2 linked regions of the Lonchura striata genome follow. The protein of the gene in region 1 purifies or fractionates together with the protein of each later gene. This does not show direct contact. Links are inferred from orthologs where the notes say so. Each region holds a gene or a part of one and is shown in the gene's direction. Other genes may lie near its edges.

Region 1 (9,553 bases):
CCTGTGCCCTCTCCTGGTGGCAGAGCACACAGGACAAATGTGCTTACACCAACACCTCCCCTGCACAGCAAACATTTCCTGATGCCAAGTGCAAACAGCTCTCTAAAGTAAACCAGACCAAGATTCCAAGCCTGATGGTGACACAAAACGTGTCACTAGGTCTGTAGGATGAGTTGTGAGCACACCCTTACAGCTCTGATCCCCACACTGCCGCATTTCACCCACAGAGCCTCTGGAACAGGACCTGAGGTTCTCCTCTCTCAGAGGAGGAGGAGGATCCCATTGGGATTCCCCCTTTTGCACAGAACCATGGCTCTGAGCTGCACGGCACCACGGCTTGAAAATGCTACTGAGGCAACCCAGCACCTCCTGGAAAGCCAGGAACAGGGATTTGAACCTTGCCACGCTGCATCTGGCCTGGAAGAACATCAGTGCTCCATGCTACCTGCTCGGCTCTTATAAGCACATTCCCACTGTCACCAGGGGATCAATGCCCTCATTAATGGCAGGGCTCAGGTGACACAAAGATCTTCTGTTTGTCAGGCTAAGCCGGTTCCCAGCTCTAAGGAGCTTTGTTTCTGCAGATGAGAGGTACTGAGCCAGGTCAGGATTGGCCCAGCTGCCAAGTAAATAAGCCCTGCAAGAATCCAAAGTGACTGCAGACCAAGCACTAAGCCTGAAACAGTGAGTTCTGCCAAACCTGAGCCAAGTGAGACATACGTGCACAAGAGACTCATTTGAGAAGGGCCATACAGACACACTTCAGTTCTGGCCAGGGCCAGCTCATCCCAGAAAACCAATTACCTCAGAACCAGTTCCAGGCAAGTATTGCTGTCCATTGCTGATCAAATCTGGCTCTGTGATTCCTTACTCTGCCTGATCTGAACAATGAAAGGGTCTGGAGGCCTCTAATTGTGTTTCCCAGGAACCACTTACAGAACAGAACTATAAAATAGTTCTGTTATTACATGGTTTCCCCCCTATTCTCCAGCATATCCTAGTCACTATCACTCCAGACAGTCAGATGGAAGCTCAGCATGATCTCTGAAATTGAGTCAAGCCATCCATTGGTGAGGGAAAGTTGACTGTGCATTAATGGCAAGCACCATCACCCTTTCTTTCAATCATGTTCTAGAATGAGAGTGAGTCATGGCTCTTTTGCAGAACTAGTTAAACACACCAGCTCCAAAAGAAGATTCTGGAACATATAGCCTCAGGACTGCCTTACTGGAGTCACAGAGAGATTTCAGACACATCTCCGTTCCTCAGAATTTTCCATTGTTAAGAATCAAACAGCCTCTACGGTTCTTATCCAGGTTTAAGGTGTGTCTGTCTTTAGAATATTTTATATGAAACAGAATTAAATGCTTGGACTTCAGTCTGAGATAAGAACCTAAAAGTCATTGTGCCAGTGTTGAGGCTCCTTAGTGAGGCTCAGCATTTAATTTCTGTTCTTGCTCATTTTCTGCAGAAGGAGAATGATACTCAGCATCCCTGTGAGGAACGGAAGTATTTAAATTGACAAAGTACCCAAGTAGTTTAGCAAATAAAGTGGAAAATTGAGAGGTCATACAAAGTTATTGAGTGAATAAATATTAATGAGTATTTTGCTTTTTCATCTACAGATGTTTTCCTAGTTCACATAAACATTTAAGACCTCATCTGAAAGCAGGAAAAATAAAACCTTTAACATGCATTTTGCAATCCAGAAACAAGGAGGAACCCAGACATGCTGAATAAGCCATTGTCCCAGCCAGTCTGCTGGCACTGCAGCCTGGGAGAGTGGCTGGCAGTTGGATGGCACAGCTCAAAAGCAACAGGCCACCAGCCACCCCAACGGGGAAGTGCTGCTTGTTGAGAAACAAAAAATCATTCTGTTCAGTTTTGGCTTGACATGTACATTACTTTCCACATTGCTTTATGTTATCAAAAAGGTGAATGAACTTGCTTGAAACAATGAAGTCTTAAAAATCTTAAAGCAATAATTAGGAAACTTCTGTTTCTCCAGATTATCACTGATGGAATTATTTTTTGCCTATGAGTTAGCATCATAATTTGATGTCTTGGTTCATGCCTCACTTTTAAATGATTCTTCTCTTTATTCCCATGGACAATTTATGCCAGTGTTTGGTTCTATAATTATTACATAAATGTCACATACAGTAAATCAATATGTAATATTCCCATGAGAAGCACATGGTTTGTGTCACACTGGCATCCACAACTCCTGCCAAGATATTATGGCTATTTGTACCAATATAGGAACCTAGATAAAATACAGTTATTGTTCCTATCTACCCTGATTTTATAATCCTTGCTTCTGATGAAACAAAGCAAAAATTATCAAAAGATCCACAAATATTTGGGTTCATTGAGGAAAGGGGTAGCAAAACTACAGATTTCACCTGCTTTTATGCAAACATAGGATGATGTGCATGAGTTCACGGAAATAATCTGAAATTTGCTAGTCTGTAAATCAGGCTCGACCCTGCTGAAAACAGATGCCTCAAATCTATTTCTCTTGTGCACGGAACAGTGTAGAGTTATCCACCTGCTGCAAAGCAAAGTCACTGTAGAACCCTGTCAAACCACAGCAACATGATGCTCTGCACACTTTCCACTGATGGAAACACCCGGAACAGTACAAGGAAGACAAAAGTAGGATCCAGAGAGTTGTCAGTCTACATTTCCTTCCCCTTATACTCCAGACTTCTTGTGAATTGCATGGATTTGACTTTGTTCCTTATAGCTATCAAATCCTTAGACTTCTGGATACAACATGATTTCTAGGGCATGTTCTTGTGTTGAATAGTGAAGAAAAATAAAGCAGCAGAATGCTGTGTTGGTCCCTGTCTTGCAGGTCAGTCACAAGCAGCGGTTGTGCAGAGAGCAGGGTCTGGCTTAAAGTGTCTTTTATCACTTGAGTTCAAAGGATCATCACTGCAAAATAAAGTACAAGAAGGAGCTAAATGAAGAACCTCTGGCATGGTAATTCCAAATTTTCTGAACTGCTTTTCCCATCTGCAATTAATTCCTCCTCCTCAAAGAACCATGCCTTGAGTATTAGTGCCACATACTGGAAATCATGATAACATACTCGAAAATATTTCATAACACAAAATGAAGGTGCACTGGCTTTATGAAACAGCAGGATTTATCTTTATAATGCTAGAATCTATATGTTGTAGTGATATTGTACTATAAATTATAAAATAATTTCTTAATTGCATGATAAAATTATGACTTTGCTCTTTAAAGAAATAGACTCAAATTGTGTGTCAAATTAAGTTCCTTGCCCTTGAAAGTTAGTAAATAAAATAATCTCCTTGTACTGTTTAAAAAGCCCAACTCAAGTGGTTGTCCCTTGAAACTGTTGGATTTTACTACTTTTCCTATGTTTTGACACCCTCTCCCTTAAACAGGGATTGCTGTCTACCAGCCCAATGTTAACTGCAGCAATTTAGGAGCTGCAGTACAAACACACACATCTAGGCTGCTTTTACTCTTCACCAGCATAAAGTTTGCTGACATTTGTAGTAATTCATTCAATTCTCAACAGCTTTACTATTAAGCTGGCTAAATCGAATCACTTGAAGATTCTTGCTACGGCATTACAAAAATAAGCTACCTATCTTAGGTAAACTTTAAAAGAACACACAGCTTCCCATTCCATCCAAAAAAACCCACCTCACATAAAAATTCAAAAAGGTGTACACCAGGAACACTTGCCCTTTAAGCCAATTCCCTTGTTCTCCAGTTAAAATATTAGTCTTCTCTAATGCTAACTGTTGAGGTTTTTCTTTTGTTTTCTTTAATTCCAACAGCTTTATAGTTACCCATCTCTGGCTGTCCTGGCTGAACACCAGGTTTGGCTGAACGCTCTGACACCAAACAAGGCGATGTGAAATCCTAACTAGAAATCCAGCTGTAAAACTGGCAGCTGAACTGCCCAGCTCTGCAGACAAACCAGCCTCGGGGACCAAGGGCTCTGCCCCAAGCAAGAAGGGAACCACACGAGGCAGGCCCATTAAGATAGACTTCAAAAGCTTTATTCTCAGTGGAAGAGCCCAACAGAGCAGTGATAGCAGCAGGGGAATCACAGAATGTTACGTTGCAAAAGATCTCTGAGATCATCAAGACTACCTGTGCCTGGCACAGTTTGAGATTATAGCCTGTTGTCCTGTTGCTGGCTGCCCAGAAGAGGCTGATCCCACCTGGTTACAGCCTCCTGCCAGGTGGAGCTGGGGAGGGCCCAGGAGCAGCGGCTCCTTTCCAGTCCCGATGCTCTGGAGTCATCCCGCTCCTCATGTGGCAGCGAGCTCACCCTGCGAGCCCTCAGGATTCACAAGCCTCCTCTCCCGAGTCCAGCCAAGCCGGCAGCCTTCCCCATGTCCAGCTCTGGGCTCCTCAGTACAAGAGGAGGAGCTGCTCCAGCCGAGGACGATGAAGGGACTGCAGTGTTTCGTGAGAAGCTGAGCAAGCAGAGCCTCTCCAGCCTCGGAAGGTGACCTCAAAGTCACCAGGGAGGTGTCAGAGGATGGATCAGGCCCTTCTCAGGTGGTGCTGAGCAGCAGAACAAGAGACAAGGGGCAGAAACTGGTGTAGAGGAAGTTCCACCAGAACGTGAGAAAACTTTGCTGTGCAATGACCGCTCACTAGAAATGACTGCCCATAGGAGATGAGGAGTCGCCCTTACTGGAGATACCCCAGAACTCTCTGGGCGCAATCCTGTGCCACGTGCTCGGGGACGACCCTGCCGGCGCCGGCAAGTGCGACCAGAGGATCCAGCGCGGTCCCCTCCTGCCCGAAGCGTCCCGTGACTGCCCGCACGGTCCCCAGCGCACCTGCCCCGCTCCGCTCGCCCCGCCCGCCCCTGCCCTCTGCCCATCCCCGCCCGCCGCTCCCCTCACACCGCCCCCCGCCCGCACTCCCTCGCCTGCCCGCCCTTCGCGTCCGGCTCCAGGATTGGTTGTCCGCGGCAAGGTCCCGCCCCCCGCCGCCCGGGATTGGCCGGTTCTGCCCGCGCGGCGCTGCTATTGGCGGGCGGGCGACGGCGCTGCGGGTCGGGCCGGGCCGCGGGCGGGGAGCGTGGCCGGGGCGCTTTTGTTGCTGGGTCGGCGGCGAGAGGAGCGGGCGGGGAGCGCGGGCCCCGCGGACACCGGGGCAGGCGGGGAGCGGGGCCGGGCGGCGCGGGCACGGCGGACGGCGGGGCCGGGCCCAGCGGCAGCCATGAGCGGCGGCGTGTACGGGGGAGGTGAGTCCGGCGCCGCCCTCCCCTCCCCCGCCCCGCGAGGCGGCGCGTGCGGCCGCGGCGGGCGCTTCCCGCCTCCCTCAGCCCGGCCCGGCGCTGCCGCGGCCGCTCCGCGCCCCACGCGTGACGGGCAGGCGGCGGCGGCGGCGGGCCTTGTTGGTTCCTCGGCGCCCCCGGGCTGCCTCCCCGGCGCGGCCTTGGGCAGGACCCGCTCTGCCGAGGGCCGGGGAAGGTCCCCGCTCTCTGGGAGCCGGGTGTGGTTCCCCGAGCCCCTCTGCGCACCCCCCGTGGCCACCGCTCGTTTCCGACAGCTTTCCTGTAGGATGTGCGTAGATCAGCGGCGATCGGGCCCGTAGGAATGGGCGCTTATGCCCTGAGCCCTTCCCTCACACAGTTGATGTTTGCACCACCTTCCTCATCCTCATCACCCACAGGGGCTCTGGGCTCACCTGGCTTCGTGTGACTGCTAAATTAGAACTTTCTGAAAGCTTTATCTTGCCATCCGTTAAGCTGCTACTACGTTCTCTCTCTTGTACTAAAATTTTCTTCTAACACCAAACAGGGATTGCAATGCACCAGTTAAAGCCTGTCTGCAGTTTTCCAATAGCTCTCTGGTCGCGGGAGCTCTGAATAGAAAAGTTTGTCCTTGCTTTGTAAAAGATCTCTTGATTTGCTTGTCTTGTTTGCCAGTAAAGCAGGTGGTGGGCAGGGAAAGGTCAGGGTTGCAGAAGAGCATAACCATTCTTTCTTAACAATCTTTTCAGATGAAGTCGGGGCACTGGTTTTTGACATTGGCTCGTACACAGTGAGAGCAGGCTATGCAGGCGAGGACTGCCCGAAGGTGAGAGAATCTGTGCCTCGATGGAAATTGAACATGAATTTATGCCTTAGGTCTTCTTTGTGAGTTACAGCCCTTCTGAACACACTGGGGCTTGTTCTGACTGTATTGTATAAAGAAACTTCGGAATTTGTGAGAAAAACAACAATTTCCAAAACATTACTAGTCCTTATGTACTGCTTGCCTCTTGCCTTGCAGGTGGATTTTCCAACAGCCATTGGTGTGGTGCTAGAAAGGGACAATGGCAGCACTCTGATGGAGATAGATGGTGACAAAGGCAAACAAGGGGGCCCAACTTACTACATAGACACTAATGCCTTGAGAGTTCCAAGGGAGAATATGGAAGCCATTTCACCTTTAAAAAATGGAATGAGTATGGTGCTCTTGTCTTTTTCTACCTGATTTTAAAATAGCATTGCTAGGAAGTTATAGTTGTGTTGGCAGCTGTTATGTACAGCAACAGAGGCCATAGGAACAGATTCCTGGTTTACAAATTGCAGGGAGATGTGGTTGGTTTTCAGTGTTAGTGGGCTTTCAGCATAATTGTTGAAGTTGTGGTGGTTGTGGAGGAAGAGAATTCTGCAGATCTGTTAAAGGAGATGTGTATCTGCTGAGGACAGCTTTTGACTGAAGAACTCTATGCAAAAAACTAAATTGGAAAGCCTTTGTGTTTATGAAATGAAACAAAACTTAGGAGTAACTAACCTGTTTGTCTCAATGTTGTTATAGTTGAAGACTGGGATAGTTTCCAGGCAATTTTGGATCACACTTACAAGATGCATATTAAATCTGAAGCAAGTTTGCATCCTGTCCTTATGTCTGAAGCACCAGTGAGTAAAACCAATTGTGCATTATGATAAGTCTTTTTGCTAACTCTGCAAACATTAGTCCTGGATAAGTCTGACAATGGCTTGTAGGTGACAAGTGCTAAAATGTAGCTACAGAAATGACAGTTTTAAAATACTTGGACAGCTTCTGGAAAATGTCTAAAAAACCCTCATTTTGAAATAGTTTGTATGAGTTGTATTAGAAAGTATTTACAATATGCTATTGTTTTTCACTTACTGAAAAGAAGCCAAAAATTAAAAAAAGAAATTTTACTGCCTAGAATAAAGAGAAAAAAGATGTTTGGATATCTTTTATATTAAGTTACACTTAATAAAGTGCCATCAAAAATCTTGCTTCATTCAGCTTTACAAGTAGTATTAAATGACACAGAACAATATTTATAATAGAGAAGTTTTAATTTTTCTGTCTTTGTTTCTGTAAGTGGTCCTGTAAGGCAGCTGAAGTGGATGAAAACAAAGTTTAAAATGCTCAGCATTTGAAGGCAGATCTTGAAAGTCAGAGTAGAAGAGGTAGACATGCCATAGACAAGTGATGCCTTTCTGTAATAAGACCTTATGAATATTATTTTCTTGAATTTCATAGTTTCCTTGTGTTGAACCACAGCTTTTGGAGTGTGGATGAATTTGCAGTGGCTGTTTGATGGCTCAGTGGATGTCTGAATAGAAACATTCCCATTGAAATTCTGCTTACAAACCTCATCTTACTTTCTTGTATTGGCTTGGAAAAAAATCCACATTTTCCTTAAAGTGTTGAATATTTGAGATATATCCTGGCTTAATAACAACTACAGTAGAATCGTAGGAAGCTGCTTTGGGAACTGGAAAGTCTGGATTTATTTTTCTTCCCACTGGGCAAGTTCCTTCATGTATCTTTCCCCTTGTGGAAGGCAGGGTGCTTGCTTTAGAGAGTTCTTTGGGAACCTGACACTGGAAGAGCTGCAGAAGTGTAAAGAAATCAATTGTAACACCAGAGGTGTGCAGCACTTTTGTGTGACAGATAAGATTGATGTATTGCAGTATAAATGGAATGAAAAACGTTACTAGAAATCCATTTATGTAGAATTGTGGTATAACTTGAAACTGTGGCTGCAGGTTTTCTGCTAACTTCTTTATTGTGTTAGCAATCTATTAGTGTGCAAACGAGAGCTTCCTTTTGGTCACTTACTTGTGGTTTGGGTTTATCATTTTTAGTGGAATACCAGGGCAAAGCGTGAGAAACTGACGGAGTTGATGTTTGAGCACTACAACATCCCAGCGTTTTTCTTGTGTAAAACTGCTGTTCTGACAGCGTATCCTTTGAAATGCTTCACTGCATGCTTTTATTTTCCTCCCCCCAGGAAATTATGGTAAACTTTTTCCAGGCAATTCCAAGCTATGCCTAAGTTCCTTCAAATTTTTTTTTCAATAAATCCAGGGAGGAAGTAAACAATTGCATTTTCTAAACTTTAAGGGATTAGAGCTCATTTTTGAATTTCTCCCAATCTGACTCTGTCCTTGAGGGTCAAAGTATTTTTTTAAATTATGTTTTTTTTCCCATTGTATACTATGGATAAAAATATTACAGGTATGAAATGGCACACTACTGAATACAGTAATTAGAGCTTGATGTTTTCATAGCCTTAAGAAGAATATCTGTAATTATTTTAAACTAATAATATGTTCCCAGCTTCGAGTCTAAATGAGTTGGATGTACTTAGAGCTTGCTGCATGGCATTGGCATGAAGTCTCACCCTTGTGCCTCCAAAGCTTGAGTTAGTTCACAGATGGAAGGAAGTTAAATGCTGCTCTCTATGAGATGGGGCATTTCACAGAAAGATGGTATACACTGGAAATTCCTTTGTAGAGGAGAGGAATAACATGTTGGAGTCCTCGTTCCTAGTTAAGATTTAATTGTATGGCAGCATTTTTTTCTAAAGTGAAAATTATGGTATTTTCCTTAATCACTTTGACTAGTTTTGCTAATGGAAGATCTACAGGTCTCATCTTGGATAGTGGAGCAACACACACCACTGCTATTCCAGTGCATGATGGATATGTACTTCAGCAAGGTATAAACTTTCATGGATAACAGCACTGCTGTATCAAGGCCAAGTTAGAGTGACTTCTGCTTGTACAGTTTTGTTACTGCTTTTCCATTTGTGTATCCCCTTAAAAAGGAAAAAACACTAATAGTGTTCACTGAGAAATAATTGGGAGAGTATCCAAATGATCCATGATTTGGATACTTTCCAGGTTAGTTGTTTTGGTTTTTATTTTGGATCCCCTCTTTGCCTTCTAGGTATTGTAAAATCACCACTTGCAGGAGACTTTATCACTATGCAGTGCCGGGAATTGTTTCAGGAAATGAACGTAGAGATAATTCCTCCATATATGATTGCTTCAAAGGTGGGAAAGTGAATTTATTTAGTGAGTGTTGTCTTGGAGAGAGGCTGCAATGCTTACGTGATGACTTTGTACCCTACAATCTCAGGAGGCAGTTCGTGAGGGATCGCCAGCAAATTGGAAGAGAAAAGAGAAGTTGCCCCAAGTCACCAGGTCTTGGCACAACTACATGTGTAATGTAAGTAGGTCATTCCTCCTGCTCTCATCTCCCCTGAATGTTCCATAAATAAGATT
Region 2 (9,949 bases), on another chromosome or scaffold:
TTGTTCCAAAGACCAAAATTCACTTTGTAAACAAGAAAGCTTGAATACTGAAAGAAAACAATTGCAGTCATTACATTTAAACTGTCTGGACAGCTCACTTCTGCCTACTCTATTAAAAAAATCATCATAGTGGAGTAAGCAGATAATCACAGCAAAATATTCATTCCTTTCTATGAGGTGGTGTCATCAGTAAGGAAGGAAAGTTCAAATCAGCAGCAGATTCAAAGTTAGCACTTTCTTTGGATGAGTGTGGCAGTTTGTTTTTTTCAGCTGTTAATTTTCTCAGGTAGGGTGCTATCCATTATGCTCAATCCAAATGTTAAACCTGTCTTAGAATCATAATTATATCATGTGCTCTGGGCTTATAAGAGATAAGGTTGATTAGCTGGATATTACATTCTGTTTTCTCATCATGGGCAAGAGGAAGTCTTGTTGCACCACCTTTGGGACCACATTTGAAGTTTTTGTTTAAAGGTGGTTGAAATCATAGGCAGACAGTATCCCTGAACTCCATTCAGAGTAGCAATGAGGAACTTTTCTAGGAGCAGACAGATCGTCTATTGATTGTTCCCTAGTCTATACCACCTGCTCCCTCCAAAGATTAAGTCACCTTTGAAAATCACGTTCACCTTTGTACTGGGAATAAGAGGATGGAGACAGCAATATTTCAGATGCATCAAGGTACCACCTCTGTAGATGGATGTAATGTAAAAAAAATTTTTCCTATCTTTAATGAAGGAAAGACTGAAAAGGACTCCCAAAGTGTTCACCTTTTCTTTTTTCTTTAATTTTTAATTTATTCTTTTTTTTCTTTATTATTTTATTTTCCTGTATTATTTTTTCCTTTTGTTTTTTATTTTTCCCAAACTAGTTTCTCAAGAAATAAGGCAGACAGACCTGTGTCTCTGTTGAAATTTCATAATAAACTTTGACAAGTTGTTCTTAGGTGCTTTCTATCATGTGCTTTTTGATGGGAATTCAGTTTTGTCCCATCTAAATTTTACCAATGACTCCCCTGAAGGACAGGGCAACCATAGTTGCTGAATGTGTGTTCTTCAGAGGATGTGTCTGTTTTATTAGGTTCCTTTTCCTACTGTTACTGTGGGTTTGCAGTGGCTACCAGAAAGACTTGTACTGTCCTTTTGAAGCAGCTTGTTCATAACATTATTTTCTATTGTTGGGGAAATTTAAAAACAATGCATGACAAAGACTCTTCTGGCAGCCACACTAAACAGATTTTGAATAGTTTATTAAACTAGGGACAGACTTGAGCCAGGCTCTGGGAACTTCTGTCTCCCCAAATTTTTGAAAGCTTCAGATTGAGGCCTCCATGTACATCTTACTACTAGAGACTCCTCTTTAGTGTTAAAATGTATTTTATCAGAATATCCCATTAAAAAATAGTGGGTTTGAGTCCAGACATCAGCATGCAAGTAATTAAAAACTGAACAGTGCATACAATAAAGAAAACTGGATAACAGAATCAGGCCTGAAATCAAGATACACTAAAGATGTCCAAGATTTGTTGCTATAAGTTTAGAGGGGAAATTTTGCTTAAGAAAAAAGCTAAAAATTTGAGGTCCCTTTCATGGATACAATTCCCAAAGTTGTGAAGAATGAATTGTTGGTGCCAGTTTTTACACAGTATAGCTCCATAGTTATCTTTGTTATGCTGACTATGTAATTTTTTTGGGAATGTGTCTGTAGAAGGCTGGTGTTGAGTCTGTAACACTGACACTCTGATATCTTTTCCTCCTTTTTCAGCTAAGCAACTATTGGTAAAGATCAAAGAAAGGGAGGAGGAGGGCTGACAAGAAACAGTGTATGAGAGATGCCTGCACAGCTTTAATAAATAAAAAGGGGTTAAGGCTTCAAATCTCTTGCAGGATATCTGTGCATGTGGGGCCCTGTTTTGCTGTAACAAGCTACATTATAGCACACTATCTTATTTAGACCTATATGATTCTGATACTTTGAATATTAATATATATTAACAAAAGAAAATTATAAATCACTAGAAATACCTGAGAATATTTAACAGTTGCTAATCTACCAGAAACCACTTTTTTTCAGCTCTGTTCTTTGTTTCCTTCCACAGCAAAATTAGATTTGTGGCTTTTAATGTTGGTGTCTAGTTTGTTTCACTTTCCAATTCACAAGAGTTGAGGAATATACGATAAGAACCTAACTTTCTTTCCCTCCAGAAAGCAGCAACTCTACGTTAAAACTTAACAAGATAAAACAGAAAGCAGAAGATAATAAGTACAAGGTAAAAATTCTTTCAAAGTTTGAAATATTGTCAGCTAAAATAAAGCTTTTCAGGGTTATGTAAATAGTAAAAATGTTTGAAACAGAGGCATCACACTTACCAATACACTGAGAAGATATGACACTGTGTTTCTTCTTCTTGAGTAGAGACAAGCTACAGTTCTGTATGAGGGGCTGGAGGTGAGGTGGTGGACTCCCTTCTAAAGCCCTGCTCACTCTGACCCTATAGATGCAGCATGCTCAGGCCTTGTGTTAATGCTACAGATGTTACCCCAATAGATTTGTGTCAAAACTTACCTTTTTCAAAATTTATGTGCTGGCTGTCCAAACATTTGGCAAGCTCTCGTTAAGAATATGCCCACCCAGGGCTTTTTATGCCATATACTTTTAAATTATTTATACTTTCTTGCAGCCTCCTTGCTATGTTTCAGGTGAGTGTGAATAAAACTAACAGTAACTAAGTACAAATGTAAAAATCCTGAAGTTGTGATTTAGTGTATACGTAACTGAGTGTGTCTCAACTTTGTTGGTCTTTCAGGATGTAAAACAACAGTAGCATTACTGATTAGTGACTTATGGTACATTAAAATCAGAAGAAAAATTAATCTAATAACCTACCAATGATGGACTGGTGTATATGTAAAAATGCAGGTAACTATGATGTGGCATGAAATTTTTATTAATACAGGTTTGTGATGTTCCCCCTGCTTGCAAACAGTGAACATGTAAACAAGTTCTGTAGTTCATTACAAGCAAAATGCCCATCAGTGCTCTGTGCTTTTTCTTTCAGCTAAAATGGTAACCTAACTGTTGTGGGATTCTGCATGAAAAACACTGTGGGCAAATTATATGGACGTGTGAGCAAAGCCTGATCTCTTCATTACTGCAGGTGAGACTTCCCACTGCTCTGATATGGCAGCTCTGTCCTTGGGTGTCCTGGAGATTCCTTTGAGTGAGGCAGTGCTGTTGACTGGCTCTCTTAGCCAGGAATGTGGGGTCTGCCTGGGAAAAGGGCTATCAACAATCCAAGGTCATCTGTGCCTGTTCTCACTGTTTGTTGCTTTTGCTGGTAGCTGATAAAAGCCCAACGTCTGAATAACAGGAGCAGCCAGGGAAGCCTGTATGGCTTCATCCCGTTTTTGCAATACACTCCCTGCCAAGCTGTACCAAGAGCTCATGGCCTGCAGAGCAGGAATGGGCCTATATATCCAACAATATAGGACCAGAGGGACTCATTAAACTTCTAAACATGACCTCAAACAGGGTTTCTTAATTATTTGAAAATGTCACGAGTTTGCATTAGAAAATCTCAGGGCTTTCTAGAGCTTGGTCAGATTTTCGTACCTTCTCTCAGTAACACAAATCTATCTCCTGTTCTGCAGTGTGATATGGTCCTAGGCTGTTTTTTTCTTATATGTGAAGCAAAATCATTATCCCACAAGTGAATATTGCCCATCCTACAGGAAGTACTCAAGTGTTTGCCATCAAGCAAATATCACAGCAACAAGAAAAGTCAAACCAGAAATCCTCGTATTAGTGAGATGGGGTGTAGGTTGCTAGTCTGTGGTCACCAGTTCAGGTGCATGCTATGCCATTTGCCATTTATTTCTTTGCAGCACACACATCAACTGTGTGCTTGTGACAAGTTGGCAGTTTGTGGTTAGCTTTTCCTGTGAGCAGTGAGAGGTACTATGCAGGGAGGGTCTGACGTTGCATTCAATGTCACCTGGACCACTATATATTAAATAATATAATGTAATATGATAATGGAAATGTTCTTAAAGATTACTTCCCAGAACTGTTTTGGGATAGATCTCAGCATCTTGGAAACTCTCCAGCTGACAGAAAGCTTATTTCTCCTAAGCAGTGCCTGTAACCAAATGGCTTAGATTGCTTTGATGGAAGAGATACTTCCCTCCAGGGATATACGCCTGGCACAGTACCTAAGTTGACCTAGTAGCGGGAATAAGTAAAGTTTCAGAAAGAGGGACACTAGACAGATCCTAAATTTTAACTTCTTGCAAACTTCTGATGAATCCTTAATGAACAGAAAACCGCTGCATTATACTTATGTACCTGTCTTCACTGTGAGTAACAGTCATACTCTTTCTGTTCTCCATTCCTCTTCCTTTTCTCTTTTGCCCTAGTATTGGAAAGTTTTATTTGTAAAGTAGTTGAGCAAGAGAGATTTTGGTTGTCTTTACTTTTTCAAGTTCAGTCCAGGAAGATTGCTATTTCTACTTCTGGTAATGTCTTACAAACATCACTATTTTCATTCTGTTATTCATTAAGTTGGGAATGAAAATGTTTTTCTAGTTTTTCTCACTTTTCCCTCTGCTTTGACAGTAGTGTCTTTTAATTGTCTTTAGTTGAGTTTCTTCTGAATGTATAGATGCAAAGAATGGCGATGTAGGCTTGATTTTGGTGGTGCTTCTTTGTGTTTTTTAGAAGGATGGAGGATGCCTGAAGGGAAACGAGGCTTTTGGGAGTGGAAGAAAAGTATGAGATGACAAAGTTGACATTGCTATCAGACAAGTAAAAAACTTGTTTGATTCTGCTCTTGTTGGCACCTAATTTACACTGGAGCAATTTCGTGAACTTCAGTGAGTTTACTTCTGAGAGTGAGATCAGTATCTGAGAGTGAGATCAGGATTGACACCTCTTAAATCACTTGGGTCGTGCTCCATAATTCATTCGCAAGTTCCTTTAATTAGTTGCAGGTAAACCCAGGCTTCCTGGAGTTCGCCGCCTCCCTAGGAATGGGCTCTGCGTGCTGCTCCCTGCCGCGCTCCGGGGTCCAGCCTCCGCCTTCTGTCTCACCGCCGGGCTGCATGTCCGGTGGGACGCGGGTCAGGGCTCTTCCCCTCGCGGCTCCCTGTGTCGGACGGAGACGGGGCCCGGCTCCCGGCGCGCCAGAAGTTGCTCTGTGGGAGAAAGTTGCGGGGCTGTGCAGGGCCGGCCGGGCGGTCCGGCCGCCGCGTGTTATGTAAGGGCGCAGGGGCTGCGGGCCGGGATGACTGACAGGGAGAGGGAAATTCCTGGGGGAGGGGGAGCGGGAGCGGCGCTGCCCTGAAGCCGCTGCCAGAACCGGCGGCTCACGGAGACCTGCGGGGAGCGCGGCCGCGCAGAAAGGGAAGCGGCGCGGGAGGGACGCTGCCGGGCAGCGTGCGGAGCGAGCGGGCAGCGCGGGCTCGTTCCCCCAGCGGGGCAAGCCGCCTGGGAAACCGGGGGCTAGCGGCGGCGGTGCGAGGGGACGAGGAACGAGCCCGGCTTCCCCTCTCCCGGCGCGGCGCGTTCGAGCCGGGGCCGGAGCGCGGCGGGGAAGTGCCTCGCTGGAGCCCGGGGTGCCCCCGGCGCAGCGGCGGCCTCGGCGGCGGCGCTGCCCCTTTAAGACCTGCTCGCCGCCAGTTCCAGGGAGAGGGAGTGACCTCTGGGCTTTGACAGCTCCCCTAATAACTAGCAGCGCCCGGCCCCGCCCCCGCCGCGCCATTGGCTGGCGGGCCGGTATGCCGCGCTGCCATTGGCTGGCCGCTTCCCCTGAGCGAACCTTTAGAACTCCGAGACACAATATTCTGTTACATTGTAGCAAAATGGCGACTGTCATTCACAACCCCCTGAAAGCGTAAGTAGGAATCAAAAATGTACATATTCCGCGTGGTTTAAATATGAAAAAAGGCGCCTTTCCGGCGCCGGCTGCCAGCCGGAGCCGGGTGCCGGCAGCCTCTCGGCGGGTCCCTCCTACCGCCCTCCTTTCTGCCTCAGCGGCTCGCTCGTTTTTTTGTGCAACACATCCCCGCGGCTCGCGCCGAAATTAACGAGGAAAAAATTGTTGGGTTAATTGGCGACCGGGCGCGGGGCGGGGGGCGTCGGGCCGGGGGGCGGCGGCGGGGAGCCCGCCCGGCGCTCCCGGAGCTCAGCGCGGGGTCGGCGGCGGCCGCGTCCCGCGGGGGTGCGCGCACTTGACAGCGTCCTGCCCCCGCTGCCCCGGCGGGCTGGCCCCGCCACCGCGCTCGGCGGGGCACCGACCGGCCCGCGGGGGCGCTCGGTGCGCGGTGCCTCCGCGCTCCCACCGCGGCTCGGAGTTGCCTCGGGAAATCTTTGGGGAGTTGGGATGTCTTGACGAAGCGACCCCCCTCGCTTCTCGGCTGGGCGGTCGGAAAGCGGGGCGGCGGGGGCTTTGCCGGTGCGCCTCGGCGCCCGTGCAGGAGAGGGAGCGGAGAGGCGAGGCAGGGAAGCAGACTTGGGTGAAATGAATGACTCGGGACTGCCGGTCGCTGATTTTGGGCAGGAAGTCCGGAGATCTGTTTTGCATATGACAGGCTTTCGCTTTTCAAAGTGGCAAAGAGAGTTGATTGTGTTTCCATCTTGAGAGCGGGCACAAGCCGCCGAGGGCTGTACGGACGGGGTCTGACCCCAGCTTGAGAGAGGGAGGGGGCAGGTACTTCTGCTGCGGAGGTATTCCGGGGCTCCCGGTCTGGAACTAGGGCTGATTTCTGAGGGGCACCGCGGGAGCCGGTTGTCGTCTTCTGGATCGCGTCCTTTATTTTCCTTGTGGTCTGCAGCGCACGCCGCTAATCCCCGAAGGCATTAGGGAGAGTGGGATTTGGCACCGTATGTGGGGAGCGGAGCTATCTTAACCTTTTTCAAACGACTTCCCTGCTAACGGGGGCAGCGCTCTTCCTAGTGAAGCAGGGAAGCAGAGTACCTGGCGGTGACGCTTCGCTTGCACTTTCTGGCTGCGCTGAGTGGGTGTTTTTATACCTTTGAGTTTTGTGAGATGAAATTAGGGCTGCGAGGTTTTTTCTTTTTCTTTTTTTTTTTTTTTTCTTTTTTTTTTTCTTTTTTTCTTTCCCGGCTCGAGTCTCTCCGCCTGGAGTTGGAAAAACACTTGAAGGTTTTTCCAGGGATTTCTGCCGCTGTGTCTCTGCGATCCAGAGGGAAAGGAAAGCCTCGAGCTGGGAAGGGGTGCTGACATGTTTATCAGCTTTCCTGCTCCGTCCTGGCAGAAAAACCTTTGCTTTCATTTACTCGCCCTCTCGGATATAAAAATCCGCGGGGAGAGGGGAGCGCAGTTGCAGGGGGTTAATCGAAGCAGTCCGAGTGTCCTCATGGGTGGGTGCCGAGGGACTGAACGCGCTCTGAAAACCGCGCGGCAGAGGCAGCGTTTCTCCCCCCGCGTTCGACGGCAGGTTTACGCTTGTGCAGGCGACAGCGATTTCTCCCCGCGCCCCTCCCGGCCGCCGGCCGCGGGCAGAGCACCCCGGGGCCGCACCGCCCGGCTTTGCACCTGGGCACGGAGCACCGCGGATGCGTGCGCCGTTCGCGGCTGCTGCCGGTAGCGGGGAAGCCCGGGCTCGGTGGCCCCTGGGGACGGCGAGAGGGAGGCGGGGAGCTCCCGGGAGCGGCCACGGGAGCACGGCTGGCGGCCCCGGCCCCCGCCCCGCCGGCGGACGGGACCTTGCCGCCTCGCACCGCACTTCGTGGCACCGTGGGGCTCCCGGCAGCCGCGGCGCTCCCTGCCGAAGGGCCGCTTGTGCCGAAATGAATCGGGGCCCGATCCCGCTGCTGCTGAAGTCTGGGAGGACAGGATGAGGCCATTTATAATTAGCTCCCTTCTCCTCCCCTCGCCCCTGGGGGGTGTGAGAGGAGGAAACAATAGACATCAAGTGCTGGTTTCGCTTTTCTCTGTGTGCCTTTTAAAGTACTAAGGCTATGTGGAGGAAGTAGAATTGGTACTGGCTGTCTGACACCATCTGTAATTTTGTTGACAACTTGTTTAATAAAACATTTTATAATTTTCACTTATTCTTTAAAGTTGCTGATCGGGAAACAATACACATGTAAATAAATTATGCATGGGATAAATTAGGACAAAAGCAGTAGGACACATAATAGGGGAGGGATGCAGTCCACATTGTTTTATCCTCATGTGTCCTTCCTGACAATGAACGGGAGCTGAATGACATTTGCATTTCCTCTGTCTGCGTTTTGATTGTATCTCAGAACCCACAAACGCCCCCTACAGAAACCGGCCACACAAAGGTTTTGCTCCGAAATGGGGGACAATGTAGGGACTGAGAAATCCTGGCTCAGGTATCAAGCAGCTCCTTGTGTATGCTTGTGCATTTAGGAGTGTCTAATATTCAGTTTGTCTCTGGCACTTGGACACACATGTGGCCTTGTTCATGCTACACTACTCTCTCTGAATAATGTATTCCAGTACCTGAGCATCTATGGGAATGCATTTCATAGAACAGCTCAGTGTGTGGAGTCCCTTATTAATGATTGGTTTCTCCCTACTCAACTTGCCTTTTCTCTGTCACTTTCTGGTTCTCTTTTGGTGCTTTCTTCCCTCTGCTCTTCTCCCCTTCACTTCCTCTGGTGCACCAGTTTACCTGACATGACTGTCTGTTATTTCTGCCATTTATTAGCTTGTTGTTTACGGTGCTACAGACAAAAATATCTGAGATCTAAGTTTAACAGATCTGCAAGGTAAAGGTAGCAGGTGTTTGGACAAGCACATGCTTCTTCATCTGTAGAAATGGCAGTATTCTGACAGCTTTGATGGGACAACAGTGGATTCAAAGTGCTGAAGTTGTTGATGCTTTTTTCCCCCCACTAGTTTGTGTGTGTATCTCCATATTTTTTGTTTCCATCTTCTTCTTTGGATATTTTAATATGAAGACATTTGAGTGGTACAGTAGAAGAAACAAATGCATTTAGAAAGTATTCTGAATTACTTCAAATGTCAGTCAGAAATCTCAGTGGACTTTGTAAACATTAATTAATTAAACCTCTCAACGCCCCTGTGAAGAAAGGATTATTGCCTTTGTTTTATGGATGGCTAAACTAGGACAAAGTGGTTCAGAATCTCTCTAAAAGATGAAGTCTAGAATGCAGGCATTCAACTTCCAGTTTTAGCATTTAGTCCCATTTCCTCCATCTCTGCCTTATTAGTGATGTGCATATGGTACCATAATGCACTTAATGTAATTAAGACCTTGTAATTTACACAGCCTTGTCTAGAAGCAGAGCTGGTTTCCTCCCACCCCTTCTCTGTCTTTACTCCCACGAATGACTTTTATTTCAGGTTGTCAATTGAACACACTAAGTGGAACATAGGTTGTTACCATTTCAGCGTGTGAGGTCCCCCGTGCCGTGTAGCGCTCTGCTGGACACTCACCAGACAGCTGTTGCCTCCCAGGAGTTTAGAAGTGCCAGTGCTCTCCCTTCTGCTCAGGGCAGCGATCTCGCTTCCATGCTGACTGCGTTGTTGGATAACTTTGATATACACTTATTCTCTGCAAGGTGTTTGGGGAGCAGATCATCACAGGTTTGTGTGCACAATGCTAGATCTACAGCACAGAGCTGATCTACCAGGCCTGTTCTGTATCCGCATTCCCACTGCAAACACACAGCAGCAGTTGGGTTTTCAATTGCTGTACCTTCTCAGATAAAATTGCCTTGACAGCCAACTCCGACCTTTGGGCTGCCAAATGACCTTCCTTGTGATGATGAATTCTGTGTCATAAGACACCTGTGAAGAAGTGGTCTGTGTTTGCATCCCTGTTTCACATTGGCAAGAGACCAGTGTGGGTCTTGGGGTCTTGTATGGCAAGAGTACTTCACTAGTGATTATTCTGGCTTAAACTCAGGCTGGGGACTCTTAACTGGAAGGTCC

What was found. Proteins that work in one complex are often made in the same cells at the same time.
Region 2: the proteins of ACTL6A (region 1) and DPF3 purify together in Homo sapiens (affinity purification with mass spectrometry; 4 studies listed by BioGRID and IntAct, counting the BioPlex papers as one, with this or other methods). This does not show direct contact. The link is inferred for Lonchura striata from reciprocal best matches to the Homo sapiens genes ACTL6A and DPF3.

Annotation. Positions count from the first base shown.
Region 1 is NC_134612.1:20,304,695-20,314,247, reverse strand, and holds the start of ACTL6A (actin-like protein 6A), read left to right. Parts: upstream 1-5,190; 5' UTR 5,191-5,229; coding exon 5,230-5,254; intron 5,255-6,015; coding exon 6,016-6,092; intron 6,093-6,287; coding exon 6,288-6,462; intron 6,463-6,818; coding exon 6,819-6,919; intron 6,920-8,128; coding exon 8,129-8,226; intron 8,227-8,890; coding exon 8,891-8,985; intron 8,986-9,215; coding exon 9,216-9,322; intron 9,323-9,407; coding exon 9,408-9,497; intron 9,498-9,553.
Region 2 is NC_134608.1:35,480,614-35,490,562, reverse strand, and holds the start of DPF3 (zinc finger protein DPF3), read left to right. Parts: upstream 1-5,796; 5' UTR 5,797-5,858; coding exon 5,859-5,890; intron 5,891-9,949. UniProt on the Homo sapiens protein: Belongs to the neuron-specific chromatin remodeling complex (nBAF complex).